Diceros bicornis minor: one gene and its partners. The protein of the gene in region 2 purifies or fractionates together with the protein of the main gene of each other region. This does not show direct contact. Links are inferred from orthologs where the notes say so. Each region holds a gene or a part of one and is shown on either strand. Other genes may lie near its edges.

Region 1 (7,783 bases), about 56 Mb from region 2:
TAGTGGTTAAGTTCGTGTGTTCCACTTCAGCGGCCAGGGGGTCGCGCTGGTTCGGATCCTGGGTGCGGACCTACTCCCCGCTCATCAAGCCATGTTGAGGCAGCGTCCCATACAGAAGAGCTACAACTCTACAACTATGATACACAACTATGTACTGGGGCTTTGGGGAGAAAAAAGAAAAAGAGGAAGATTGGCAACAGATGTTAGCGCAGGGCCAACCTTCCCCAAAAAGAAAAAAAAAAGACAGTGCCTCACTGGCCAGTAAAAAAAAAAAAAAGTGTCTCTCTTCCAAACTGCTCACACAGAGTTCATAATCCCCTCTTGTCCCTGCCTCACCTTCCGCCTACAGAAAGGCAGACCGCACAAAGGAGGTCCTGGGCAGAAAACCTCTTTAAAATGAGAACAATCTGAACGGAAATGAATGTCCTCTCAGCTCTCCACCCTCTACTGGCTCTAAAACAGAACAAATGAACACAACGCAAGAAACATATTAGGAATGTTTTCTTAATAAAAGGCATCTGGGAACCTGAGCCACCACTAACCTTTTCCTAATTCTGCACTATCCCTAGTGTAATGGTTCATCTTAAACTGTGAATTTGCAAATGTGAAGTTGCAGCTGTGTTTGCCAGTCGTCATGTGTTCATGTAGCAAACTGGGGTAAAGTCAAGATCCTCAATTCCAGATGAATATTCAGTTAAGTTTCCAAATGTTCCTTTTTAAGGAAAAACATCCTCAGACGAACATTCCCACATGCGAGTTACAGCTGTTCAGCCTGCATGCTTTGTCACATATATTATTTGTGTGCGTTCAAATATCATAAAGCTCAAATAAATAACTGTTCTCAGGAAATGGAAAAGCTCACAAAACTTCTGAAACCCAGGGTTTTAGAGGCAGAGATTGGCTAATATTTTACTCCAAAAATCTACCTTTGAACCACAGAGAATAAGTAGCTCTGTCTATAATTTGCTACTTTGCTGTTAAACTTGCACTGTGATTGTGTCCGTCTAAAGCAGACCAGCGGGGCCTGGGGGGACTAACGAGACGGTCACAATGTAAAAATCTCCAACTGACCAGCTTTCAGAATATGCTGGGTTGTTTCAATTTGGCTTCCTCAAGCTAAACATTTTATTCATTCCTCTCTATGTTGTTTTAGAGATGAAAGGAATGCTACAGTTTTCTAAGAAAATCTTTCTAGAATGCAAAAGAAAATGATTTTTGAAGTCTGCCAATCAATATGAATGCAGTTAATATACCAAGTAACGTATGCACTGAGAGCAACATGTTTTTATCCAGACGGCACATGAAGTTTCTTAAAGCTTCCCTCTTGGAAATGGACGAGTATTTTATATAAGCCTATTTTGGTAAACTTAGCATGCATTTTCAACGCTTTTCAGCATCTGTCTTTTATTATCAGAGGATACCTGATATCCAGATGACAACAAAGTATTTTGAGTACCTTGAAAGTCAGATCCTGCTCCTTATTCCTGTCCTAAATCATAATTTTATTGTGACATCAGGTTCATTTACACCAACAATTTTATTTCCTGGACAGGCAGGCAGCTATTCACTCTAAAATGCAGATTCTATTCTCATAAATATGTTTCACGTAAGGAAAATACTTAAAACTAGTATGCATGTAAAATTCATATTAAATAGAATCTTTTCTGACCTTTAAAATGTAGCTCCAGAACATGCACAAACTTATGAATAAGATTAAACATTTTACTTTTTCAAGTCACCTAATTAGCATTATTAGCAAATTGTTATTGTGCGTAGGGGTCAAGACAACTCCATTTAAAAAATGAAATAGTTTTTCCTAATTAGTGTACTTCAATTTCTCCATTTAACACCTTGTAAGTAATTGTTGATCTTAAGATTATGTATTGGCAAAAAAAAAAAATGGGACAAGATTGCAGTGTTTTTGACATACAGGCATACACCGTTTTTAAAAGCGTTCCGTCCCCTGCACTGCTTCGTCAGCCGTGGAGAGGAACGCAAACTTTAGTCACTCACGGAGATGCGGGTCAAGGTTCACACTCCAGCCCCGGAAACTGCCCGTCATGAAGAAGAGGAGCAGAGTCTGTAGGACTAGGGGTTCCGCTCAAATTCAGGTATGAACCTGAAAATGAAATCTAGGATTTTAAGCCAGCCTTGAAGAATGCCAGGGCTTTCCAACCCCGTGTCTGCCATCCTCTGGCGCGCAGACGGGAAGAATTCTTTCGTGGAGAGGGCGGAAAATCGTTTCACAACCCAGCCCTCAGCTATCGATGAATGCAGCTTTAAAAAATGCATAGCAATTGGTCAATTAAACAGAGGGTGAAACTCTCATACAATACCAGCAACAAAAGCTGTTCAAACAAAGCCCTCGGACGAGCTGTGCGCAGTGCTGGAGCACGGTTTTCTGCTGGGGTCACCGAGAGGGACGACTCCACCTTCGGGCGGGGCAGAGCAGAGCGCTCCCCTTCCCTCCGGACCTCCCGGGGGGCGCTCCTCTTGAACGCGGCCCCGGCCCCCTCCCCAGCCGGCACCGCACACAATGGCGCCCCGAGCTCCCGCCACCGGGTTCTCGCGCCGCTGGCGCGCCCCCCGCGCGGCCCGCGCTCCCGGGTCCGCGCACAAAGGAGGCGCGTGGGCTCCTCGGCGCCCCGCGCTCCCCGGCCCGCGCAGCCACCAGGTGCGAGCGCCAGCAACCCCGCGCCCGCGCGTCTCCGCGCGCCCCGGGCCTCCCCCCGCCAGGGCTCCCGCTGCCCTGGGCCTGTCCGCCGTGCGGGCCTGTCCGCCGTGGGGGCTCGGGGCGGGGGGCACTCACTTTCTCGATGGTCCCGGGCAGCAGGCGCTCCAGCAGCCTGCAGAGGACCACCCCATCCTTCAGAGACGCCTGCAGGAAGCCCTCCGGGTCCGAGATGGTTTTCTTGGGCGACTCCAGCACCCCCAAGGTAATGAGCCACGTAACGGTCTGCTCGGCGGAATTCATAGCGGCGGCGCGCCCGGCCTCCCCGCGCCGCGAGCCGGTCTCGGCGCCGTTCACCTCGGAGCGGCCGCGGCCAGGCCCGCTGCGCCCCCCGCCCCCTCCTCCTGCTCGCCCATGGAGAGGCCGGCGACGGCGATTGGCTCGGGCGGCGCCGCGGTCCGGCCGGCTCGCGCTCCCTCGCGTGCGTCCTGGCCGACTGTCAAGTGCCTTTTCATTACATGCACATGAACCTGCGGCGGCCGCCCGGCGCCGCCCCCGCCGCCGCCTCCCGGCTCCCAGCCGCTGCCGCCGATGACATCACTGCCAGGAGAAGAAAAGACGCCGCGCTGAGCGGCCCCGCGCCGGGCCCCCCGGCCGCCAGCACCCCCGCGCTCGGGCGGCCGCCGTGCGCCCCCGCCGTGCGCCCTCCACACCCGGGCCCCGCGCCATGCGCCCCCGCCGTGCGCGCGCCCCCACCTGCGAGGCCGGCTGTGGGCCCCCGCCCCAAGGGCCCGGTGACCTCCAGAAGGCGACAGCCCGCGGGCCGGGGAGGGCTGGCCGGGCCTCCCAACCCGCGGGGCGCGTGCGCTCTTAACCGTTTGCGCCCCGCGGAGCCCACGCGCAGCCCCCTCCGGAGGCGAGAGCCCGGCCAGGCTCCTTTCGCTGTCCTCTCCCTTCCGCTGTCCTCTCCCCTCTCGGAGGACTCGGAACCCTTTATTTATAGTCTCAATTCATGAATGTTTAAATTATTAAATGCTTCCCAGAATGCTCTTTTTATTTTTGCCAGTTTCATTTCAAGAGGTTGGGGGGTTGCTGAAAACGAGATGTTTGCTTCTCTCCCCCTACCTTGCAAGCCAATAATTACAGAACACAAATGATAATTAAATCTGTAACCAGATGGGTCTAATTCAGGGAAGAATTGATTTTCTGGGCGCTGCTGCGATCCTTGGGGATATGGAGGCCCCAGAGCGCGGTGCGGCCGGTGTCATGCGTGCCCCCTGCTGGGAGGCCTGTGACCTCAGCGGCAGGGACGCGGCTGGCCCCTCTCCAGGACCAGAAACCTTGGAGCGACTCTGTTTTAAGTTGCTGGTGACGTTTCTAACACTATGGGAGGAAGGTCAAGAAAAGAGCAGAGGCTGACCTGGGTCTGTGCAGATGATAGGGAAACAAGGACTGAGAACAGCTCAGTCCAAACAGGCCGTTTGGCCAGATCCCACTTGGACAAGAGATGCTCTGTTGCAGACAAGGCTTTGAAGGCACTCGGGCCAAACCTGAAGAACTCAGCCCTCCAACTGTCACTTAAGGAACTTGCTTCTTCAAACAACGAATGACATTGACACATGTAAAGGCTAACGAAGGAGAAGAGCCTCTTCTTGAAAGAAGCAGGTGTGAAGGTGTCCATGTATTTCCATTTACTCCATCCACAGTCCAGGAGTGCCTTCCCCACTTGCTTGCTAGGACTGCCCATGGCAGCTTCAGACGGTATTAACGGTCACCTACAGAGAGCTTACTGTGTGCCAGACACATATAGCAACCCAGTTAGTGACAAAGGCTAGAAAGACTTTTAAAAACAGAGGCTTAACTCTCCTCTTCCTCTGCCTTCTTCCGGAGTACTTCCATTGCAATCGTTATTGCATTTATTTCCAGCTTGGAGTTAGCGTTAAATTTTCTTTCCAAATGCAAACACAAAGTAATTCAAAGAGCAGTATGAATTCTGGATTTTGAGGGCCCCCTACTCGGTGGTCACAGCCGCCACTTCCTGAGCTCCCTGTGTCTCTGCCCAGTGCTCCCCCGCCACCCCCCCCCCACATTATGTCACACCATCGTTACTACAGCCTTGTGGAGTTTCTCTCATTGTCCCCATTTTACTGGTCACACATCCAACGAGTGGTGGAGATGGCCTCAAACCTGGGCTCTGAGCCTCCAGGACCCACACACCGCACATGTTTTCTAGACCACTTCCCTACACGACTTTTAGGAAACGGCAATTAACAGCTCCATCAAATTTTGTGCCGAAAGACTCTATCAGTGGAAGGGTGTTGACCTGAGTAGTTCTCCACTCTTGAGAGATGCCTGTTTACTCTTAGTACTGCTCATTTGGAGACGTAATTTAGAGTACAGTCATTTCAGATTCCATTACGTTAGATCTGGTGCTTGTAATCTGGTAAACAAGGGTAAGATTCAACTTGACTCAATCAAATGGTGGTACAGAAAGGCAACTCTGGGGCGTGGCCTTAGGTCACCAGTGAACCTGGCGCCAATTACTGTCAGAAGGGAGACCCACGGGCCACCTGCCAGAACTGGTCTCAGAAGTCCCTGGGCGTTTAAATGCTTCAGAGCTATTAGTGGCATTCTTTTACCTCGGATGTAGATTAATTTCAGAAAAGTTTATTTGTAAGGGATTCTAGAAAGTAACGTTGTTCAAAACTAGGTGTTTTTTGGTGTTTAACTGAGCTGTTTTAGCATCCAAGGTGGGCATTTGGTTACACTTAACATTTTTCCAAGTTCCTATTACAGAGGACGTGTGCTACAGAGGAGAACTCGTTGTTCTGTTGGTTGGAGCCAGTTAGGATTGTTGTTGGCGGAAGACTTGGGCCCTGCCTGTGGATGCCCTTTGACCCACCTCTGAAGAGCATGTGCCCTTCAGTTCCCTGACATCTCACGAGAGGACCTCAGCTTCACGCCCAGCTCGGCTGCCTGGTAATGCCTGAGAGCCACCTCCCAGTCGTCATTGCGGTGCACCCACAAACGGCCACAAACCAGTAGTCACCCAAAGCTCAGCCGAACTGTGCTGACTCTATTTGTCAGCTTATTGGTGCTTGGGGATGGTGTTACAAAAACGTTGAAATCTACCCCAACCTGAAGCCAGGCAGGCAGATGGCTATTTACCTAGCAGTGCGTAGCAATCTCTCCCTGTAGAATTGCTTTTATTGACTGGACTATGATCTAGATTGAAAAATGCTGTAAGAAGCAGTTCTATGAAGCTCATTGTATCTACTGTGTGTTATCAAAGACACTCATTTTATCAGGGTCCTATTTATTTGGCATAAATATGGTCAACTGCTAAAAATTAAAGATGCAGGGCAGGAAAAAAATAGTTAATAAACATGTATGGCTGAAAAATTACTCAAGATCGGAAGACACTTTACCAATATAGTATATTATGAAACATAATGTCACTGAGACACTTACCCTAGTTTAGGTTCCCCCAGAAGCAGATCCTGAGCCAACAACTTGGGTGCAAGTAGTTTATTCTGGAAGCCATCCCGGGAAGGATAAACGAAGAAAGGGAGAAAGTGAACGGGGAGGAGGGAAAAAAGTGAATCAAAGATGTGTAAGTGCGCCCCATTCCCCCAGAGACCAGGGGGAGAAGGGGCTCTGTTCCCCCAGGGAGCCTGGAGAAGCAAAGAGGAACAGGTCTCAGTGTCTTCTAACCGGAGGACCAACAGGCTAAGAGTTATCCCCTGACTCCCGTCTCCTGTGGTTGAGGGTCTCCTCCAGGGGCAATGACCTCTAATTCAGCAGAGCCTAAAGTCGAGAGAGCAGGAGATCCCCCACGTGGACCCCTGGGAGAGATGGTAAGGGGGCCAATGCTCTTTCTCCCCGTTGCTGCCTGGATGCTGCCTTGTAGCTACCAGGGGAACGACACCATATAACAGCCACTGGTTCAACGTATATGCTGTCTTGAAGGACAGTCCCTAACCCTGCGGGAAGTCACCCCCTCCCTGGCCTCTGCATGTATCCATCCAGTGAGAGGAATCGCCTCTCCCTCCAGGACTGCAGGACTTGGGTGTGATCGACTTGCCGCCAAGTGGCTGGTGTTACCACATCAGCGGGCAGAATCATTCTCTGCTGTGGGTAGCGAAGTCGGTAGCTGTAGCTCCTGCTCCCCTCCATCTCTTGGACACCTCCATCCCTGCCATCAGGACTGTGCTGTCCATGGCCTGTTGTGCAGGGCACTGGAGTGGCAGGCAAAGCCTAGGCTGGCTGCCCTCGGCTACAGACACCATCTCTGCGCCTGGTTGCTGAGCGCCTCTGCCTCAGTGATGCTCTCTGGGGATGGACATGGGGCTCAAGACCCACAGGCCTGTGTCTGCGCCCACAGGTCCCTCCACAGACCCCTCCCCACCTCCTTGCCACCACTCGTCCCACCTTGCCCCTTCCGGGCACCCAGACGAGGAGCCAGCCACCCACCCTGTCCAAGCGTCTGAGCGCAAAGGAGATGACCATGAAAGGCTCAAAGCTCTGCCAGCAGTCCTCACCGCGGTCCTTTATCCCGCCCCAGAGTTGGGCTGTCATGTGGCAGCAGTCCGTTTTCGGTTCATACTAAATTATCAACCAGACCCATTCGTAAAGCAGGCCCGTTCTCTCTCTACCAGCTGGTCATAGTAAACGTTCCGCGATGTCGCAGGTGTGAGCTGAGGAATGTTGGGAGTCCAGCCAGCGGGGGCAGGGGACTTGGAGGACTGGGTCATTTGTGTCAGTAGCTTACTGTGCCTCGGGACCTGCTCATGCCACGTCCCAAATGCACCTATCCCTGTGGGCTGGATGGCTGCTATGCTAGCTCCACCTGGTCACTTGGCGCCCCTCCCGGCCACTGCCTGTCAGAACGTCCTCTTAGTGACGTTGATGCCCCTCGTCGGGGCATTCTAGCTGCTTTAGAGAAAGGAGTGTCTCCAGGTCTCCAGCTGGTGTCCATTCCAACCCTCCCACCTCCCTTCCTCCCCACTCTGCCCAGGCTGCCCAGCCTGAGGAGCTATCCCTGCACAGACTAAGGGCCGGCTCTGCGCACCAAGATGTTAATCCTGAGATGGGAGCACCATCACATCCCAG
Region 2 (7,173 bases):
AGGCTGCAGAGTGCCTCAAGAAGGACGCATATAGGAAGGAAGGAATCAATAGATTTAGTGAGGAGGACTACAAATAATGAGAGATCAAAGTCATTTTGGCATTCTTGGAGAAAGGGTAACAGAAGAACTACAGTTTCTTTCAAAGGAAGCAAAAGAGAACTCAGCACCTCAACTGATCGTGTACAGCTGGAAAGCTGAAGCAGTTTCAGAAATCTTGAGGCTCTTGAGGAAAATTTAAATGATTCACCATTACTTTATGGGTAAATACATTTCATCAAACAGAAAATGCTATACTCGGTAATCAAGGAAAGAATCAAATATGGAGAAGGATAAACAGGGTCAATCTAGGTACAAGAGAATTTCAATTTAGTTTCAAATTTAACGTAACTCATAGATTACTTAATTATGCTATCTCAAGTGAAGAGTACATCAACAGCAAGTATATGGACTCCTACAGGTACCAACAGCATCAGGAAAACACACCTCAGACACAACCAGTAGCCAAACGATCCAGCGGCAAGATCTCAAGATGGACCACTGGGTTGTCCAATGTCAGAAGAAATTCTCCAAGACTGTTACCCTGGATGGGTAGACTCAGAAAAACAATTCCTGAACTTGAATATGAAATATATACAAGGGTTACTCAGCAAAACAGACAAACAAATCATGTTACAGCAAGTAGACCTCAGAAAAGAATAGAATTTACTGGGCTCCAGAGTAGACAAGTGAGAAATAATAATTCATTGAATATACTAAGGCAAAGATTTGGAATTTTAAGACTAAGACCTACTTAGAACAAAAGGCAGCACACACTACTTCCCAAAGGAGGTGTCACTTCTTCACAAAGTCCACATATTTACAGAAAAATTAATCACCAGCATCCACACCATATGGTTGGTCCAAATGAACAAATAATAAGGAACATTTTACTGGTTAGGTTGAATGCACTGAGTTTTTCAAATGAAAGTTGGTCCTATTTAGAATAGCAGTGAACTATTTACAAGAGGTTAATTTGGTGTTTAATAGCTAACAAAGAATAACAACTCAACCTGAACTAAACAAAGCTTCAATTAGCTGTCCCGAAGACAGTCGTGTCAACAGAGCAGAGATGTGAATAATTTAACTGCAAAATTCATACCACGAAAACTCTTGTCTTGCTAGCGTCTTTTTACTAAGAAATCATGCTGGTATTCACTAGATAGGATTAACTAAAGAGGATACTGACAAGTTGTCCACCACAAACTACAAAGCCAACAAAGACAAAGAAGGAAATGAAATAGCACCTGCATTAATCTGCGTAAACATTTACACAGCGGCAACACATTAAGACAGCTTGCCTGTGAGTTTCTTGTTCACTGTACTGCCTGCTGGCTGGCTGAAAATTCCACGTGCCCTATTTGTCGTCAGGCAGTATTTGAGTCTAATACTATCCAAACAGTGGATTAAACACATAAACTATTTAAGTTCTGGTGTCTGTGTGTTTTTAGGATTTAATTATGTCATTGAATATTGTGCTAACCTAGTAATCTGGTTAAGCAATGCTTGCTATAGCAAGGACTAAATTCACAGCCAAGATAAAATTTATCAGAAGGTCAGGTAATACCATATATAAGATTTATTCTAAAGCTGTCAAAGAATGTGGTACAGAATAGGTGACATTTGAGCCGGATACTGAAGGATGAATGATTCATCAAGTTGGAGGTGGAGTGAAATGGCATTGAAGACGAGGAAATATGGCTAGCTCTAGAATGGGGAGCATTCACCCAGGCTGGAGTGAAGGGTACAGGAGGCTGGAGGGGTGTGGCAGCAAATGAGGATAATAGGATGGATTAAGACAAGAGGGAGAATGGCCTCATTGTACACTAAGCTAAAGTTTGGACTTCATTTCATTGAGTAATGAGAATCTACCAAATATTTTAAAGCAGAAAAGTGACAAGAGATGCCTAGCTCTGCCCTTGGCAATATAGAAGGATAAAGTGCAGAAGGATTAAGGCAAGTAAAACTGTTGAGAGGCTGCATTAAGAAGTAGTCATGACCATGCAGATGGGAACGGGAGGCCAAATCTGAGCAACATTTTAGGAGAAAGAACCAAAACAATTTTAACATCCAACTGAAGGTGAGGGAGTTAAGGAAAGGCTGCAACTCCACAGACTACCATGAAAGATGACAGAATAAGGAGAATGACATCCAACTTCATCTCCTACCTCTATCACACACGCTGCACTCCAGCCATCCCAAAATTGCAATTCCACCACCAAGTCGTGCGTGCTCATGTTTCCAGGCCTTTGCCCATGCTGTTCCAGCCACCTGCAGCCTAGTGAGTCTGGTGAACTCGTTCTTTCCATATGGTCCTTCCTCCAGGAAGCCTGCCCTGACTACAACCGGGACAGGCGCCTAGTCCCGGGGCTCCAGGAGCCCGCAGTGCACGTCTTGATAAAAACAGTCTCCGCGCCACAGTCACTGTTTACACGTCAGTCTCTTCCCCTGACACTGGCTCCTCCACGTCGCCATCTACCCCTCACTACCGTCTCCCAGCGCTCGGAAGCCGGGGGTGTTCCTTAAATGTTTGCTGAGTGTCGTGGACGAAAAGACTCACACGGGGCTCTCCCTCTAAGGTCCGCTGCGGTTCTGACAGTCTTGGGGTTCCAGAGTCACTGTCATTATTAAAATGTCCTCTAAGGGGAACATGCCATCTCGGAGTCCCAGAGGGTTGCAGACACTCGTGCCCCGTCTTTGGAGTGAGCGCCACAGTCCCCCGAGCGCGGCCGTCCCCGCCGAGCCCCGGCAACCAGAGGCAACGCAGGGCCGGCGGTCCGGAGTCAGTCCGCCCGGCCCAGCCCCAGCCAGGCCCTCAGGCCGACGGCATTACCTCGACAAGACCTCCAGATCCTCCAGCGCAGACAGCAGCCGCTCTCGCGTGCTGTTACCGCCCGCCGCTCCCGAGCCGCCTGCCGGCCGCTCCTTCTCCTTCTCGCCGCTCGAAGACGCCGCCATTCTTCGCTCGGACCAGCAGCCGGCGCCTGCGCAGCTGCGCGCTGGCGACGACAGGCGGGCTGGGGAGGCGGAAGGAAGGGCCGCCGAGGCGGGGGAAGAGAGGCCCGGCCGGAGCGCCCCCTGCGCGCCCAGAGGTGCATTGCGCGCGCGGGCGCCATCTGCTGGGCCAGCGAGGGCTTTCTCGGGTCCCACCCTGGAGCGAGAGCCAAGCCCACAACGTGGAGACGCACCTGCGGTCAGGTTTTCCAGCGACTTCGCGTCTTCAAGCAGGTATGGGAGGCTTCTGCTCGACGGATTTTAAACATTCGAGGGAATTACATAATGGCCCACCTCTTGTGTCAGTTCTTCGTGAAATGGGCCGGGGTCTTCTCAGTATTAACCTCTCTTTAGTCTGCATTCCCGTTAACGCTATTCCCACCCTCCTGTTTGGCATCTCTTGAACGCAGTAAGCACCTTAGGACCAGAACCATGATCCAAATTTTTTTTTTTTTTTTGGGAGGAAGATCAGCCCTGAGCTAACATCCATGCTAATCCTCCTCTTTTTGCTGAGGAAGACCGGCTCTGAGCTAACATCTATTGCCAATCCTCCTCCTTTTTTTTTTCCCCCAAAGCCCCAGTAGATAGTTGTACGTCATAGTTGCACATCCTTCTAGTTGCTGCATGTGGGATGCGGCCTCAGTATGGCCGGAGAAGAGGTGCGTCAGTGCGCGCCCGGGATCTGAACCCCGGGCCGCCAGTAGTGGAGCGCGTGCGCTTAACCGCTAAGCCGTGGGGCCACCCCATCCATCTTTTTTTATCTTCAGTTTTTCTTTATTGTGGTAAAGTACACATAACATAAAAACGTACCTTGTTAACCATGCTTAAGTGTATAGTTCAGTGACATTAAGTACATTCATATTGTTGTGCTACCATCACTATCTCCGTAACTCTTTTCATCTTGCAAAATTGAAACTGTACCATTAAACAACTCCCCATTCCTGCCTCCCCCAGCCCCTGGTAACCACCATTCTGCTTTCTGTCTGTATGGTTTTGACTGCTCTAGGTACCTCATAAAAATGGAATCATACAGCACTTGTCTTTTTGTGACTGGCTTATTTCACTTAGCATAATGCCTTCAAGGCTCACCCATGTTTTACCATGTGTCAGAATTTCTTTCCTTTTTAAGGCTGAATAATATTCCTTTGTTTGTGTAGACCACATTTTGCTTATCCATTCATCTGTTGATGGGCACTTGGGTTGCTTCCTCATTTTCATAATCCATCTTTATAATCCCATAACTCCCAACAAAATGTGTTGCTCAATGCTCCACACGACTGTTGAATTGAAGGAATCAATTTACTATGTAAGTGGTAGTTAATTAAATTGTTGTAGCACATATTCCAAATCAGAACTGGATGTCAAAGCCAAAAATGTACCTTAGCCCACTTTTCCTGAGGAGAACAATGTAGTAGGGGACTTGCAGTCTACAGGAAAACCCAAAGTTACAACAGTATTGGAAATGGCGAGTTCTATGTTGGTCCAAGTTGGGCTGTAAAAAATGAGTTGAAGAGTTGTCGCCTACAGACAACAGCTGGGAAGGAGGCAGGCGTACTTGTGATCCCCTTATTCCAGCATCCTGTCCTCTGGTCTGTCCTTCTGCTGGGCACGTAGAGTTGAAGATTCCCTCGGGGACTCATGCTAAATAAATTCATTCATAGCAACTGCTGTATATAATCCAGAATGCTGATTTATTCACTTACAATGAAAAGTAGTAGTGCGAAGCACAATTTTACTCATAGACAAACCTACACAAGAAGCCAAATTGTCACCAGAATGTCATTTGGTAAACTTGGATCAGAACAAATGAAGATAGACAAAAAATCAATTAATACAATCATCAGGATTTGCATCTCCATAGTGTAGGGACATTTGTGTTAAAGAGATTGGAATATTTGTGTTCATAGGTCAGGGTGCCTTCTCCTCTAGACAGTGCAAAGGCACCAGACACCTTTTATTTTCCAACCACCCCCCACTTCTGCTCCTGGCCAACCCCTTCTATTAATACAGTCAATTCTCAGGCAGTGGAATAAATTAGATGTATGTTTTCTCAATTACAGTTGCATTCTAAGCATGCATCCCAGTAGCTCTAGTCTGTAATCTCTTATGTTAAGTTTCCAAGGGACTAAACTCTTACACTCTCTGTGGGTTTTGTTTACTCAACTCTCACAGGTTCATCTTGGGCCATAATTCTCGGGGGGGAAGGGAGAAGTTCAGTAACACTAACTATATTAGTGTAGCTTCCACGTAAATATTCTGGGAGGATTCTAATCAATTTAAAATGACCAATTATCAGTCCTACTTTACAGACATTGAGAGTCAATGGATGGACAGTGTATGTGTGCTGTGAACTCCAGACCTCCTCAGATTTATTGCAAATTCTTATGCATGTTGAACATTGTCTATAGACTGATAAGTAATAGCATTACCCACAGATATACTCTTTCACAAATTGTGCAGATCCAGGTGTGATAAACAAAATATGAGTTATTTTATAATATATATATTAAAATTGAATATGAATATTTTATATATCTTATAGTTATTATAATAATTGAATTCATGGTAACTTTGCGTGTAAAGTATTTTCTCAATCTACAGACTCAAAAAGGGTAAGTGCTACTTTCCTATGAAATTTTATGTATTTAACCTGCCAGGTACTGTTCTTTAAAAAAATGAAAACTCCTTTAATTCTCATAAGAGTCCCAGAGGCATATACCGTTATTATCGCTATGTTACAGATAATGAAGTTAGGAGGCAGAGAAATTCAGAGACTTGCCCAAGGTCATACAGCTGGTGAGAGGCAAAGCTGAGATCTGAACCCAGAGTCTGACTCCAAGGTCTGTGCTCTTAGCTGCTGGTTGTCTTGCCTCCCTTTTTAAAGAAAGAGGTGCCTTCATGTACTGAAAAAGGGTTACTTAGGGCTAGTCTAAAATACAAGCTCTGTCGAACGCACAGTTTGAAACTCTGAGTAAAAAGCAGCTGCAAACCTTTCGTGTGGCGGTGTGAGCATGCAGCGAGAAACCCAGCCAGGCCGGTCCCTAAGAGTCAGCAGAATAGGTGGCCGTATACACTATGTGTGGTTTTTTTATTATTATTTTTTATTTTTATCAAGCAATGTTTAAAAGTCAAATAGTGCTCAAAAGCTAACAAAAACAAAAAAAGTTCTCAGTCACTACCTCCCCAACCCCCACATCCTGTCACATTCCTCTCTCCCTAGCGGCAACCACTCTCAACATTTTTAACTGTTTCTTCTATGCGTTGCTTCCATATTTTTAAATAATATGCATATATTCTATGTCTCTATTAAACCCTTTGAGAAATTTATTGCTTTCCTATTATAATGGAGAATTTTCTCTCTCTTACATGTAGCTAGAATCCAATTTTTTTTAAATCTATCATCAGTGCTTACATTACTACACTATTATTTACACGTAACTATGTAATTATTATTTGTTTGAGATGCCTTACAGATATCTCTGTAGAGATTTTTAAAAATTGGAATAGAGCAGAAAATTTCTAAAGCATCAAATTACATTGCACTGCTTTGTGGAAACATTTTTCAGTTACATATTTATGTATGTGTGTACTGGGTCAAAGATTAAATATGTTTTTTACTGTGGATCGAAAAAGTTTGCAAGCGTTGGAAAGTAAGGAGTAGAAAAACATGTTCTACCTGAAGTGCCCTGAAGGGAGAGTCTGTATACCTTTTGCATTCAGGGGGCAGAAAATTAAAGCAAACGTGTGCAAATAAAGTGGTGTGTTGCGATAATTATCTGGGATGCGTTGCACAGATAGAGGGTGTTATAGGCTAAATTGTACACCCTCAAAATTCATATGTTGAGGACCTAACCCCCAATACCTCAGAGTGTGACTCTACTTGGAGGTAGGGCCTTAAAAGAGATGAGTAAGTTAAAACGAAGCCATTAGGGTGGGCCCTAATCCAATCTGACTGATATTCTTATAAGAAGAGGAAATTTGAACACACTGAGAGATGAGGGATGCATGTGCACAGAGAAGAGACCATGTGAGGACACAGCAAGAAGGTGGCCATCTGTAAGCCAAGGAGACAAGCCTCAGGGGAAACCAAACTAACACTTTGATCTTGAACTCCAGAACTGTGAGAAAATAAATGTCTGTTGT
Region 3 (7,711 bases), on a different chromosome or scaffold from region 2:
CATCTTCAACAGAAAAAACAACTTGTGCGAAAGACTCCACCATGAAAGATATTCAGGGAACGAAAGAAGGCCAATGTAGCTGAGACAAGGAGTGTAAAGTTAGAGTGGTAAAAGAGTTTGGTCTTTACCAACAGAGCTTTGAGTAACCATTCTAAGATTTTCGCAAGGGTGTGGCTAGATCAGATTTTCATTTCCGAAAGATCACTATGGCCAGTGTGGAGAGTGGACTGGAGAGGCAAGAAAAGTGGAAGTACACAAACCAGTTACAAGTCTGAGGAAGTAATCTAGGCAAGAGATGGTGGTGGCCTGAACTAGAATTGTGGCAGAGAAGTGACCAGATTTGACATATTTAGGAGACAGAAGCCTCAGGGCTTGGTGACTCATTAGACGTAGGGGCGAAAGAGAGGATTCAAGAATGATGCCCAGGCTTCTGGCTTCAACAATGGAAGAGGGTGATACCATTCACTGAGAGGGAGAACACAGGAGGAAGCAGCTTTGGAAGGGTGATGGGTAAAGGAAAATAGTGAGCTCAGTTTGGGCAGCGACAAGTTTGAGAGGCCTAGGAGAGATTCAAGCGAAGTTATCTAGTGGCAGTTAGATACGCAAGACATCTGAACTGGCAATATATATTCAGAAGTCATCCACATACAGATGGTAACTGAAGCCATGAAGAATGGATGAAATTATCCCAGGGATAACATGAACAGTAGAAGAGAATGAGAAGGAAAGTCAGACAGGTAAAAAGAATTAAGTGAGAGTGACGTGGCAGAAGGAAGGAGAGTTTCCAGGAGGAAGTCATCAACAATGTTGAATACCACAGGGTTTGTATAAGGTTTAAAAAATGTCCATGTGATTTATCAATTGAGAAATCACTAATATTCTTAAGAGCTGTTTTATATCACATGAGCAGAATCAGATTGTAATAGGTTGAGAACCTGAAAGATAGGAATTGGAAACAACGAAGACAGCCTATTCTTTTTTAAAAGCTTGGTTGTGAATGAAAGGAGAAAGGCAAAACAATGGAAGAAAAAGGAAACAATAGAGAGTTTAACCTGTTTTCTTGAGGACAAGAGAGATCTAACATTTTGCATAGAAAGAAGTCAGGTGAAAAGGAACGTCTGAAAACTGATGAGGACATATTTAATAAAGATATCAAAGGATACAGGCAGGAACGGAATGTACTCAATGCTGGAGCAGACTTGACAAATGGGATAACTTTAACTCTTTTTCCACAAGACTATTATATTGCTAAGGAAAATATAAATTAGTACAATCACTATGGTGGTCACTTGGCACCATCCAGCAAAATGTTAAACATGTATATCATGTGACCTGACAATTCTACAGCTACATGTAGAATTCTACATATTTATCCTAAAGACATACTTGTACTGGACAAAATGACATGCACAAGGTTATTCATTACAGCACTGTTTGAACCAGAAAAAGACTAGAAATAACCCAAATATCCATCAGTAAGACATTACTACGTCATAGTACATCCATACAAACTAGGCAGGCTGTGAAGAAAAAAAACTAGGATGTGCTCTATGAACTGATATTAAAATCTCCTAGATACATATATTAAAAAAGCAAAAAGTAAAAGTGCAGAAAAGTGTGAATGTTACTTTTTGTCTGTAAAAAGGGGGAAAATAGAATTCCATTTATATTTCTTTGAATATACATAAAGCACTCTGGAGAGATAAGAATCTAAGAACAGTGGTTACCTACAGTGAAGGGGGCTCACACTAGACAGACAGTGGACAAGAATGAAACCTTACACTTTAACATTTTTATACTTTCCAGCTTGTGAGCCATGAGAATATATACTATCTACACAAAAAACTCTGCTAAAAAAATTTTGAATTTTTTTCTGAGATAGAAGTTAAGAAAAGGGAATGTAATGATGCTAATAAATTTCTAGACTCAAGATATAAATGAAAAAGAGAAGTTTAAACTGTAGATCTTAAGCTTTTGCTTCTGTATTCTCCATGAAGAAGCTAAGGGAATAAGCAGCAATGTGAGGGGTGGCCACAGGATTGGGAACTAGAAGAAAATGAGGTTTGATACAGTAGCTGTAGAGAATGGAAGAGGGAGGTTTAAAAATACCTAACGAAAATACACTAGACATGACTAAGACTTCTATACCTGAAAGGAAAAACAGATATATTGGTCCTCTTCAGTTGAATACATACCATCTGAGAAAATCTAAAGGTCATCTTCTAAGACAATTCACTTAGACATACGACGGCATGAAGGAATGCCAAACTAGACCAACACTCTCTCGACACACACGATATTCTTTGTCCCCGGTATATTTCCAGAGCCCAGCACAATGCCTGGCACAAACTGACGCTCAAAAATTCAAATATTCAATAAATCCACTAACCCTAGCCTCATAAGAAATCAAGAAGGGAGCCCTTTGCTTCAGACAAAGCCAAAACAATGGTACTGTTTTATGGTTCTGCACGTTATCTCAATACGTGAAGGCGGTATCAGATCTATCCAGCTGACAGTGCAGAGAGCAAGCGTCACCCTGACCGGGAACAGTAATGCTACATTCCCTGCACCCTCCACCTCTCCCCATCGCGGCTTCACTCCCGGCCTGGGGGATGTGGGGAACACGACTTGGGGTCACTCGTGCGGCGGGCTGGGGGGGGAGGCCGCAAATCCTCAATTCGTCCAGCTCCCCACATTTCCCTCCACAGAAGGGTCGCCGCGGAGCGTTCTGAGTGGTCACCTACCCTCGTCCGCGTCATACATGTTGGCAAACGGTTCCCGAGCTGCTAACTCTTAAAAATCACAGAGAGAAAAGCACGTAGCTACCACTCCGTCTCGGAGCCCTAAACGAAGTGACTTCCGTCTCCGGCGTTCCCAGAATACTCCGCGTCCGAGGCCAAAGACCGCCCACAGAGAAGCTAGGTAACATCTGCGCCTGCGCAAATGGTAGGCTAAGGGCCGCTAAGGGTTACAATTGCGCACGCGCAAATTGTGGGCGGCGCCTCTTGCGGCTGATTGCGACGATGACTCCTACAGAGTGAGGGTGCGATCCAGCCAATGAAAGTTTTTTTTAATGTTGTTGCACAAATGACACCTAAAAAAAAGGCCAAGAAGATTTATTAATTTTAATTGTAGCCTTGAGTTTGCGGCATTCGATGCTCTATTTTTTGCATTTCTAAAGGCTTCAAAAACCACGAAGCCTTTAAAAATGCGATTTATTAAGGGCAGGTTGCGCCAGCGGCGGCGCGTTGAAGAAGCCTAAAAGGGAACAAACCCTCACTCACTAGCCTTTTTTGCCCCCTCAGCTAAGTCTAGGCCGTCGGTACCTTTGCCGCAGCTTTAAGTGGGTTCTGAAGCCTCAGAGCCTTCATCGCGATAACTCACGGGATTAGGCGCTGGAGGAGGAGACGAAGTGCGGCGGCTGACAAATGACAGCTCTCCGGTAGCCGCGGCCTTGCCTGTAGGTCTTAACGCGCGCCTCTGGCCCCAGTGCGCGTGCGCGCACGTGGCTCCGCCCCTTTGCTCTGGGCCGTGTTCCCCATGCTGCCCGCACGCCTCACTGGTAGGCTTCTGTGCGGCTTCCTGCGGGGATCCGCACCGAAGGTAGCGCGCCATGGCCTCCCGGAGCCGCTCCTCGAGAGGAGATGCGCGGCTCCCTTCTCCTGCCGGCACCCATCGGGCCTGGGACGTGGGCTTCCTCGTGACCCGACAGGGACTGGGGGTTACGAAGGAAGGGCTGACATGGAGGAGCGTTTTCTGTTCCCCGAGTACGTCCCGGAGCCGGAGCCCGCACCGACCCCCGAAAAGCAGCTGCAGGAGCTGCAGGAGCGGCAGGAGGAGGAAGAGCGACAGAAGCAGCAGCGGCGGGAGGAGCGGCGGCAGCAGAAACTACGGGCCAGCCGCCGGGGGCACCCGGTCGTGGGGCACCCGGACCCGACGGTGCCGCCCAGCGGCCTGAACTGCTCGGGCTGCGGGGCGGAGCTGCACTGCCAGGACCCCGGCGTGCCCGGCTACCTGCCCAGCGAGAAGTTCCTGAGCGCGGCGGCGCAGGCCGACGGCGGGCTGGCGCGGACCGTGTGCCAGCGCTGCTGGCTGCTGGTGCACCACCGGCGCGCCCTGCGCCTGCAGGTGAGCTGCGAGCAGTACCTGGCGCTGGTGAGCGCCGCGCTGCGGCGGCCCGGGCCCGCGCTGGTGCTCTACATGGTGGACGTGCTCGATCTGCCCGACGCCCTGCTGCCCGACCTGCCTGCGCTGGTGGGCCCCAAGCAGCTGATCGTTCTGGGGAACAAGGTAGACCTGCTGCCCCAGGACGCTCCCGGCTACCGGCAGCGGCTCCGGCAGCGGCTGTGGGACGACTGTGCCCGCGCAGGGCTCCTGCCGCTCCCTGGCCACCGAGGGCCACAAGACGAGGAGAATTCGAACCCTTCGGCCAGGTGCCGCACGGTGCTCAGGGATGTGCGGCTCATCAGCGCCAAGACTGGCTATGGAATTGAAGAGTTGATCTCCGCGCTTCAGCGCTCCTGGCGCTACCGTGGTGACGTCTACCTGGTTGGCGCCACCAACGCTGGCAAGTCTACTCTCTTCAACACGCTCCTGGAGTCCGATTACTGCATCGCCAAGGGCGCTGAGGCTATCGACAGAGCCACCATCTCCCCTTGGCCTGGTGAGCCTTAGGAGACCCACCCCCTTCGTTGTCTGAGAAGCTAGAAGTCTGGTCGTGGCCCAGGCACCTAGTATAGCCTTCCTTATTGTCCACCAGAGGCTGTCTGGAGCCTTCCCTTTAAAAACTGTCTTCCTACTTTGGTCACACCTCTCTTCTGTGTCAGCTTAGTGCTTGGAAATTCAGTAATTTTCTAAAAGAAGTATTTATGGAGCACTTGTATGTTCCAGTCACTGTTCTAGGCACTGTAGATGAACAGAGGAACAAAGTTCCTGCTCTCTTGGAGGTTTCTCTTGTAGCTTTACTTCTTTGTATGTTTCTCTGGAAAGTCCTTTTACTTTCTAAACCTCCCTCACCCCTCAATCTTACTCTTCATGTCTTGAGTTGATTCATGAGATCAGTATACTATGCACGTTTAACATTTGAATAATTCACTAATGCAATGTGATGTGTAGCTTTGTTGGAAAGAAATGTCAACTTTGTGGCTTTATGAAACTTCTGTGATTGCAAAATGGGTTCTTCTGTGACCCTCTTTGTATTTAACAGTTGGCAAAACTGCCTCATTAGTTCTTTTGAAACCAGGGTTTAACTTTGATAAGCTGTTCTTCTCTGTCCTGGACTTTGGTTGAATTATACACAGAAGTGCTTTTATACTGGATGGTAGGATGTGAAAATGGAAAGAAATCAGGCCTGCAGATTTAAATCCTGGGATTTAATCTAAGGATTCAAATCCTGGTTGAGACTTTGAGCCAATCTCTGAGCCAATTTTCTCATCTGTAAATAAGAATAATTTTGTAGAGTGTTATGAAGGTTAAGTGAAATAAATCACAGTCCCCAAGACATTGTAGCTCCTCAAAGATGTTAGTTTTCCTCCTCTTATTCCTTTTTCTTGTACAGTGTTTAGAAAACATATTTATTCTTTGGTATTTCAGGTACTACATTAAACCTTCTGAAGTTTCCTATTTGCAATCCAACTCCTTACAGAATGTTTAAAAGGCAAAAAAGGCTTAAAAAAGATGCAGCTGAAGCTGAAGAAGATCTTAGTCAGCAAGAACAAAATCAACTTAATCTCTTGAAAAAGCATGGCTATGTAGTAGGTAAGCATGTTCTATAGGAAAACTCTTGTTGAGTTGTTGCTAAAATTCTTTGTTGAGCAACCTGAAATATAGCTGTCTGGGGCTAGCCAGTTTTTGTGGGGAGTGACTGCTTTCCTCATTCTGGAACATAGAGGCCCTTTAGAGGCAAGACTACTGTTTGGGAATCCAGAGTTCATTGTGCTGAGAAAATTGAGACAGTAGATCTTGAAGAAATCCAGGAAAGGAAACATGCAATAACCACCCACCCAGCCATTGTCAGCAGTAGAAGAAAAAAGATACAGCCCCCCTCTCTGCAGACCAGTGCAGGTCGTTGACTCCGTGCAGCAGCTTTAAATTACAGTCATGCGTCACTTAACCACAGAGAGATGTTCTGGGAAATGTGTCATCAGGCCATTTTGTCATTGTCCGAACATCACAGAGTGTACTTACACAAACCTAGATGATATAGTCTACTACACACCTACACTATATAGTGCTAATCTTGTGAGACCACCGTCATGTATGTGGTGCATCGTTGAGCAAGAAGACATTATGCCGACGTTATGCAGCACATGACTGTAGATTGTCACCCATTCCAGGAGCAGGTAAAGAGCTGGAAGAACCCCTTTCTAAATTCTGGTCTTCAGTTTCGTTATTTCCCCCAAATACTCAGCAAAAAATGAGAAAAAGTTATGAGTCCTCTGGCTTCTAGAGATGAAGAGTTCCTAAATAGACTAGAGAAGATAGAAAAGGAAGCCAAGAAGTACAAAATTCTAGTAAGATTTAAGGATTTGAAATCTGATTAAAAAAGATAAAGACTAGAGAAGTTAAAAAAATGGATAAAAAACGTTTGTGAACTTGCTTAAGAAAAATGAAAAGGAAATGATAAATATGTGATACTTAGGCTCACAAGAAAATACAAAAAAAGGGGGCATCGTTGAGCAAGATGACATTATGCAGCACATGACTGTAGATTGTCACCCATTCCTTGGTATCTCTTTTCAACCTTCCTTTACTGAAAACAGTTTGATTTCCAACACCCTCTCCCCCCACCCAGTGTACACAACCAGCCACTCACTTGATCATTGCAAGATTCTGGCCCCCTGCCTTTGGGGAAAAAAGCAAAGGTATCATTGTAGTCTCACTTCCATACACTACAGTTAGTCTTAGTAATTTGTTTGAGGCAAACATAAGAATTACCTGTCTGGAATCAAAAGCTTTAAAAGAATGACTAATAACTTCAATCTAACTTGTTCTAGGAAGAGTTGGAAGAACATTCTTGTATTCAGAAGAACGGAAGGATGAAGCTCCCTTTGAGTTTGATGCTGATTCACTTGCCTTTGACATGGGAAATGAACCTGTTGTGGCAGATAAATCCACCAAACGAGTACAGTTGACCCCAGAAGATGTGAAAGATGCCCACTGGTTTCATGACACCCCTGGAATTACAAAAGAAAATTGTGTATGTATTTGATATCTTAAGAAACACTTACTTTCAACTGCACAAGTACTGTCTTAATTGGCAGAACACAGGAAAGGAACACATTTTAGACTCAGTTCTCATTCATTCATAGAAGCAGTTCAGGGATGAATCTATATGGCATCAAGTTCTGTGTTCCATTTGGTAGGCTTCACTGCTAACAACCCATTTATATCATTGTGGTTGTTATCTTAGTTAGGGAGACATTTACAGAATCCTAGATTTTGAGGTTGGAAGAAATCATAAATATCACTGTAGTCCAGCCACCTATTCCATACTTGAATTCCCTCTATAACGTATCCATCAAGAAGGCATCCAGCTTGAACTGAGTAAGGAGTGACTCACCATCAGCTGAGCAGAGTCACCTTACCTCCTAAGGTAACCCATTTGGTCTTTGACCTGCTCTTTGTGTTGAGCAGTCTCCCTGTAACTTGTACCCATTGTTTCTCAGAGCTGTATGGAACAAATGTAATGCCTACATCCCTTGCCAGACTT
Region 4 (6,991 bases), on a different chromosome or scaffold from region 2:
TGCAGGTTCCCAAATGTCCCTAGCCGGTGTCCAGCCCTGCTCATCTAAGATGCCCTTAGGATGGGCATCTTGAGGTCTTCACTCCTGTCCCTGGGGCTGCCAAAGTAGAAGCGTTGAGTTGGAGGCCCATAGCATGAGAGCTGGGCCAGGACTGTGTGGCAGGGGAGTGGAGGAGAAGGAAGGGAGAACACACATTCTCCAGGGTTCCCTGACCCCTGCTCCTCTCTTGGGACTCCTAAGGCAGGCAGGGACACAGATGGTGCCTGAGAGGTAGCACTGGCTGCCATGGGAGCCATGCCATGTCCAGCTGCCTCATAACATACTCACACTTGTCCCCTGTGTGCCCAGGCCTCGAAGCAGAGGGATGACGGGGCCCTTTGGGCTCAGGCTGCATCTCACATTTTACCTCCATGACCCCCCAAATTAACCAACCACAAAAAGGCTACGACCTCACTCCTAGGGCTGGGAATGTAGGGTTCCTGTCAGAGTGAGAGAAGCCTACAACTCTGGGTGGGAGGCAGACACTCAGCAGGGAGGCTAGTGGGGTGGGTGCTCTGGGTCTGGGCTCCAGACTGCTGTTACTCTCAAGCCTCTTACCTGGGCTGCTGCAGTTCCCAGACTGAGAATGCCACTCCAAGCATCATAGAGTGGGGGTGGGGGGTAGCCCCAAGTAGCCAGCTGGGGCCCTGACAAGCATCCAAATGCTTGGGGAGTGGCTGCTATGTGCCAGATACCATGCTAGGTGCTGGGGGGTGGGGGAGTAATGAGTAAGACTTTGTCAGCACCCTGCCCACCTCACCTGCCTCTTCCTGACCTGTATTCTGGACAAGGGGAAAAGGAGGTAGCCAGGGCACAGATGCCTGTGGGATGAGGACTGGGGATAGGAGCTGGGCAGTTCAACACAGATACACACCACTCCTCCCGGAGCCCAGTGGGCATCCAGAGGCTTCAGCCAAACAGTTAAATGCAATGGAGAAAAGATACCCTTGCTGATGCTGCCCTATGTCCCTCTGGCCCAGAATCAGGACAACAGACTTGGAGATGGGATGGTCCTCAAAACCATTTCTACTCCAACTTCTTTGCCTCACAGTTGAGGAAACTAAAGCCCAGAATGAGGCAAGTCTTGCCACGGGTCACAGAGTGAGCTGGAAACACAGGTAACACTAAAATCCAGGCTCCCCTGATAGGGTGACTGCTAAGCACCCCCCTCCCAGCCCTTCTTGCCCGCTCAGTGCTATGCCCACCCAGCAGAGGTGCAGAACATCCTGGGACAGACATGTAGAGGGCAAGCTCTCCTCTCAGCCCTGCCAACCCCAGACTTTCCTGTGGTTGGGAGAAGGGGATCATAGTTTCCAGCTAATTAGGGGTAAGAACACATATCCCCCAGATAGCTTCTTCAGAACCCTTTAGACCATGACATGCCCTGAGAGGAGGCCTCGGGGTCATAACCACCCACAGAGGACCAGGCCTCTGCCAGGCATCCACAGTGCCCAAACACTCTAGCTTGGAGCCATCAGAACCACCAGAGTGTCTGTGGGTCTTAACCTGTTGGGGTCCTGGGCCTGTGCAAAGGGTAGCTGGAAGTTATGGGCCCATAAAACAGCACCCCACACTCGCACACTTAATTGTGCCCACAGTCCCCCTGGAATTCAGAGACCCCCTGAGCCTGCCCAGATGTCTCCCACAGAGATGGCTCCTTTTCTAAAGACAGGATGGACAGGGGCCAGGGCTTCCTTCCCCAGGCCAGCTGCTGAGCCCCATCACTGGCAGTGTCCCCCCACATTAGAAGGGAGCAGCCTTTCAGGTCACTGCACCTCACTTCCTCAGCAGGTCAGGGGAGTTTCACATCAGCCTGGACCTGACTCTGCTGTGAAGGAGAAGGGAAACACCACTGTAAATACAGCCAGGAGGCAGGCCAGGAAGCCAGCTGGATCCCGGGAATCTAGGCACCCCTCAGCACTGCTCCCTACCCATTTCTGGCCAGACTGGGCTAGGGGACCGGGAGGGGTCTGTGCCCAGGCTGGGGCAATGCAAGCCCACCTTCCCAAGCAGGCCTTACTAGGGCACAGAAAAAGCCGAGTCTAGTTGCTGCCAGACACCAGGCGGCCTGGGGATGCCTCAGGGGAAGATGCCCAGGCTCATACTGGCCCTGAACACCAGGCCCTGCAAGGAGCCCCAGCCTTGGGAACCAGGGGCAGGGAGTCCTAGGAGTAGCCACCCTCTCATCTGCTCCCGAGGAAACAGTAGCCAGGCCCCCCTGGCCCATCCACCCAGCTCTCTGCCCCTTGCCCTCCGCCACCCCAGCGGGCGCGCAGACCATGCGAGCAGCAGGTGCAAGACGCGGGGGCGGCACTGAGATGACACAAAACCACACTCGCCCCCACCTCCTAAACCCTGCCGGCCTCCGCCACAGCCCTCCCGCCCCCCCCAGGCTGGCGCTTCCGTTTGGATACGGAGATAGGAGGGGGGGCAACTAGCTGCCCGCCTTCCTCAGACTGAAGGGTGGGAGGCGGCGCCGGGAATGTCCTTCTTCGCTCGTCCACGGACGCGAGGAAACAAGGGCCCCCCCCAGGCCGGCCCTCCCGCCAAGGACGCGGCTCCGCAGTGGCTCGGGCGGGGGCTGAGGCCGGAGGCCGCAGCCCCCAGGCCCGCCCCGCCCTCCGGCCCCGCACGGCGCTCCCGCCAGGCCCCGGCGCCCGCCCGGCGGCGGCCTCGGTGCGCGGTCCCGCCCCCGGCCCGGCCCGCTTACCCGGGGCGCTGCAGTCCGCACACACCTCCGCTCGCGGCCCCTTCCGGGACATCCTCAGCGGCGACGCGGCCGCAGCCCTCTGGGCCAGCGTGGGGGGCGCGGGCGCGGGCGGCGGGCCCGGGCGGCGGCGGCCCCTGCTGCCCGGCCCGCCTCGGCCCCGGCGAGGCTCCGCGCGCCCGGCCAACCGTCCGCCCCCGGGACTGGCCCGGGACCCGCCGTGCCCGCCTGCCCGCTCGCCCTCGGGCGCCCTCCGCCCCGCGCCGCCCCGCGCCGCCCCGCCGCCGCTCGCCGCTCGCCGCTCGCTCTCTCCGCCCCCTGCGCGGCTCGCGGCCGCTCCCGCAGGAAGCGGCGCAGGCCCTGCCCACCGGGGGAGGGGCAGCCTGCACACCCGCCCCTCCGCCGGGCCCCGCCGGCCGCGCCTCCCGGAGAAAGGAAGCCGGGAGCGCGGGCGGAGGGGCGGGGGCGCTTAAAGGGGCCGCGGCCGCGGCCGCCAGGCCCGAGCGGGCAGCGTCGCCTGCGGCCCTGGCCTCCGCTCCGGCGCTCCCCTGGCCTGGAGGCGGCGTGAGTCACCCTCACAGCCCCATCCCCTTCACTTTCGAGATGGAGAGTGGCCCACGGGGCTCGGGCCCAGGGTCAGTGACCCCTCGGAATCAGGGAAGAGAACAAGGAGCTGGAGGCCCAGGCCCCCCTCCTCGGCAAGGGGCTATGGTTTGGGTTACCCGCCTATCTTTGGTTGGGGTGAGATGTGCGTCCTCGTGCCCCATGTGTCCACATCTGAGTGTCCAGGTGTGTGTGCGGTCACACCCTTGCTGATTAAGCACACTACCAACAATATGGACGCCCAAATGCCAGAGAGGTCATGCAGTGTATCCCCCTGCCTCCGGGCTAAAAATACATCTATCCTTCCTTCATGCGTCCATCCAGAGAGGAAAGGATCTGGGCAGTTTTTAAAGGCCTCCCTCCCGAGGAATGACCACTGTGCCTATGTGCAGTAATATCCACTTGGCATTCTTCTTAAACACACCCACGTTGTTTCTGGGCCACCAGAGGTGTGTGTCCAGGGTGCGTGCACATAGTACACAGGGACCTTTTTTTGTGGTGGCCTTTCTTCCTGGACTTCACACGGAGACTCGGCAGAGGTGGGGGGGACAGGGAGCGGAGGCGCAGGCCGCACGTGGGTGCACCCCTGCACTGAGCATGCTCCCCTATACACGTGTGCCCCGCGTGCACCCAGCCCCCATCCCTGCAGCAGCAAAAGGCTAGAGCACTCTGCTTGTGGGGAGAGGACAGGGGTGCCCAGGACCAGGCCTGGGGGCCAGGTCAGTGGTGACACGATTAAGGGAGGGTTCCCAAGCAGCAGGGAGTCCTGTTCAGTAACAAAGTGGGAGGAGGGGAGTCCTTGGGCAGAGGTTCCTGAGTTGGTCGATTTTATCCCAGCGGTGCCAGAGCAGCAGTGACTTGTGGGTGGGCAGGCTGCTTCCCTGGAGGAGACAAGTAATGCTCATGAGTCACACCACCCGAAATACATGCAAAGCTGCCTCCATCGCCTTTCACTGCAGCCCAGATTGACAAGTTTGTTTCAGATCGCGATCCACGGGGTATATTTATAATCGCCCCTTTAAAAAAAAGTCTTCTTGCAGGCCTCCCCTCCCCCCACAGCTAGCCGCTCAACTGGCAGGGCTTCTGCAAGAAAAGATACCTCTCGAGGAGGGGGGCGGGGGGAATACCACCTGCCGCCGCGTGCTGCACCCGCACCGAGGAGTCAGTCCATGGGCTTGCTGGCCCCATCCCGAGCGACGAGAGGAGCGTCCTGGCCGCCCTTACCGGGCGTACTGCCCAGAAGCGGTGGCCGCCGGTTCACCCCCGCTCGACCCCCCGCTATGGAATTTCATTTATTAAATGTCGAGGCGGCTGCTGGCAGTCCCATCGCTTGGCTGTCTTTGTTTCTCTGCTGTGTGGGCGCGTCTCGAGCACGTGGCAGCTGGAGCGCGCAGGCCGGAGGAAAAGCGACCTGGTTTAGAGTCTAGGGCCGCCTGGCAAAAAGAGAGCCCAGCAGCCTGTCCCCCAATTCAGGCTGAGCTTCCCCCCTCCTTGAACTCCAAGACTTTTCAGGGGAAGAACGATGATTCATCCGGTATCCCGGACCTCCGCCAGCTCTCCTGGTTGGCCCAGGGACCACCTGGGTGTGGCCCAGACAAGGATCCACTCTCATAACTTTGTTCCCCAAATCCCCAGCCCCGCCACAGCTGAGCTTCTTCTGGGCCTGGGGCTAGGGATAAAAGCGTTTCAAGATTTCCCTTTGGAGACGTCGCCACCTCAGGAAGAAGGACACTTAAAGAGAAATCACACACAAGGTTCTAAAACCAATTTAATGAGGAAATGTACAGGCATTCTCCCGGCCACTCCTAGCCGTCCCTCCCCCGCTCCAGCCCTCTCCCCAACTCCGGCTGCACCCACGACACTCTGCTGACCCCTCGTGGTAGAGGTGGGCGGCGGTCCCCAGCGGCCCGAGACGCCAGTAGGCTCCTCCCAGCCTGGAGAAAGGGGTGAGGCAGTCCACTCCTCCCTCATCCTTTCCCGCCCGGGCCTGGCACCACAGAGCATGGAGGTGGAGGGAGAGACGACCATACAAAGAAACCTGAGGGAGGCGCGGAGAGTTTGCAAGCTTTTGGTAGCACCTCCCACACAAACAGTTCTTGGATTGTTCTAAGTAGGGCTGGTATGGAATCCCTTATTCCTGTCTTATTCTAAGGTGGGCTCAAGAAGGCACTGTGCCTGGTCCCGCCACCTGTCTCAGTCCGCCTGGTTCCAGGAGGGATGCGCCGTTTCCAGGGCAGTTACTATCCTTAGCTCACCCCAGGAGGTAGTATTTAGAGTTGCATTTTAGAGGTGAGTGGTCTGAGGAACCAGAAAATTTAAGCAATTTGCTTAAGGTCAGGCAGTTAGTAAGGAGGAATGCGAACTCAGGCCTCTCTAACATCCCAGTCCCTTTTCCCTCCAGGGACTGGGCCAAGCCTCTAGGTCCTTCCAGCCCTTGCAATAGGCGGCCCCAGAGCCAATTCCACTTTTAACCACAGCGTCTACAGGGACCCTTCGGGAAGACCCTCTCTGCCCTGCGGTTATCCAGGAAGGAGACAGTCTCTGGAATCAGTCACTTCCTCTCCTGAGAGGACCACATAGGGAGGAGTCGGGGAGCTGCCACCTGCTGCTTTTTCTGCCCAGCCCCTCTCTGGCTTGCAGAGGACAGCGTACGGGGTGGGGAGGGGCTGTCCTCTCAGCCTTAGTGGACAATCTCTTTCCAATGTCAAATGTGGAAGATGGAGCTTAATTGTATAAGAGGGCAGGGAAGACTCCTACGTAATATTTCAGGTGCCAGACCCTCGGTTGCTCAAATAACCCTTGGTACTAATGCCCCGTACCTTTCTCAGGACTCCCCCCATCAGTTACTCTTTTCTTGGAATCTAGATCCCTCCTCACGTTCCACTGGGACCCAAACTCAATCTGAAGGCCAAGGCCACACCTTCCCGCGTCCCCTAAAGCTTGAGCAAGGCCTGTAGCCACCTCCCTCCCCAGCAAAAGGCAAAAGGCCAGCGGGTGGGGGTGCGCCCCAGCCCACCTGGCGTCAGGACACTGCCTCTGTTTTGGCCAGGCTTGACTCCCTCCCAACCCTCTCATGGGATCCGGTGGACAGTGCGGGACCCTCTCCGGCCACCCCCGCCCCCAGTTCCAAGAAGCGGACTACAAGCCCCATGATGCCGCGGGGCCGAGCTATAACAAGCTCTGCCCGGGGCACCCGCGTCCCCCTCCCCTCTCCTCCGCATCCTCTCATCCCTCGCCGGCCGCTCGGGCTGAGGGCCGGGCTATGCAGCTGCGGGGAGCAGGGAGCTGCGGGCGCGCGTCCCTGCGGCGGCGTCCCCGGGGGCCGCGCCCCGTGCGCCCCCGCGCCCGCTGCGGGCGTCTGCTCCCTCCGCCGAGCGGCGTCTTTGTGTGTGGGGGTGTGAGAGGCGAGGCGCGAGTCCGCGCCGCGCCGCGCCGCCGAGTGTCCGCTCCCTCTCCGGGCGGGTGGGGGCCTCTCCGCGCCGCCCGCCGCCGCCGCCTCGCGAGGACGCCCGCGGCCCGCGCCGCCCGCACCGCGCCGGGCGCGCCGCCCCCGCCCGCCGGCGCCGCTCGCACATGCCCGAGCCGCAGCCCTGCGAGCAGGCAGCCCCGGCCCCCCGCCCCGCGGCCCCGGGCCCCGGCTCC

What was found.
Region 1: the proteins of MED4 (region 2) and ARHGEF7 purify together in Homo sapiens (affinity purification with mass spectrometry; 3 studies listed by BioGRID and IntAct, with this or other methods). This does not show direct contact. The link is inferred for Diceros bicornis minor from reciprocal best matches to the Homo sapiens genes MED4 and ARHGEF7.
Region 3: the proteins of MED4 (region 2) and POLR2B purify together in Homo sapiens (affinity purification with mass spectrometry; 3 studies listed by BioGRID and IntAct, with this or other methods). This does not show direct contact. The link is inferred for Diceros bicornis minor from reciprocal best matches to the Homo sapiens genes MED4 and POLR2B.
Region 4: the proteins of MED4 (region 2) and GIT1 purify together in Homo sapiens (affinity purification with mass spectrometry; 3 studies listed by BioGRID and IntAct, with this or other methods). This does not show direct contact. The link is inferred for Diceros bicornis minor from reciprocal best matches to the Homo sapiens genes MED4 and GIT1.

The regions. Positions count from the first base shown.
Region 1 is NC_080748.1:85,189,737-85,197,519, reverse strand, and holds the start of ARHGEF7 (rho guanine nucleotide exchange factor 7), read right to left. Parts: upstream 3,017-7,783; 5' UTR 2,975-3,016; coding exon 2,810-2,974; intron 1-2,809. UniProt on the Homo sapiens protein: Acts as a RAC1 guanine nucleotide exchange factor (GEF) and can induce membrane ruffling. Functions in cell migration, attachment and cell spreading. Promotes targeting of RAC1 to focal adhesions. May function as a positive regulator of apoptosis.
Region 2 is NC_080748.1:28,976,100-28,983,272, reverse strand, and holds the start of MED4 (mediator of RNA polymerase II transcription subunit 4), read right to left. Parts: upstream 3,015-7,173; 5' UTR 2,995-3,014; coding exon 2,870-2,994; intron 1-2,869. UniProt on the Homo sapiens protein: Component of the Mediator complex, a coactivator involved in the regulated transcription of nearly all RNA polymerase II-dependent genes.
Region 3 is NC_080747.1:44,466,685-44,474,395, reverse strand, and holds the start of POLR2B (DNA-directed RNA polymerase II subunit RPB2), read right to left. Parts: upstream 3,012-7,711; 5' UTR 2,764-3,011; coding exon 2,745-2,763; intron 1-2,744. Other genes in the region: NOA1 (nitric oxide-associated protein 1), read left to right, coding at 3,541-4,663, 5,593-5,757, 6,996-7,198. UniProt on the Homo sapiens protein: Catalytic core component of RNA polymerase II (Pol II), a DNA-dependent RNA polymerase which synthesizes mRNA precursors and many functional non-coding RNAs using the four ribonucleoside triphosphates as substrates.
Region 4 is NC_080757.1:18,089,551-18,096,541, reverse strand, and holds the start of GIT1 (ARF GTPase-activating protein GIT1), read right to left. Parts: upstream 3,008-6,991; 5' UTR 2,802-3,007; coding exon 2,750-2,801; intron 1-2,749. UniProt on the Homo sapiens protein: GTPase-activating protein for ADP ribosylation factor family members, including ARF1.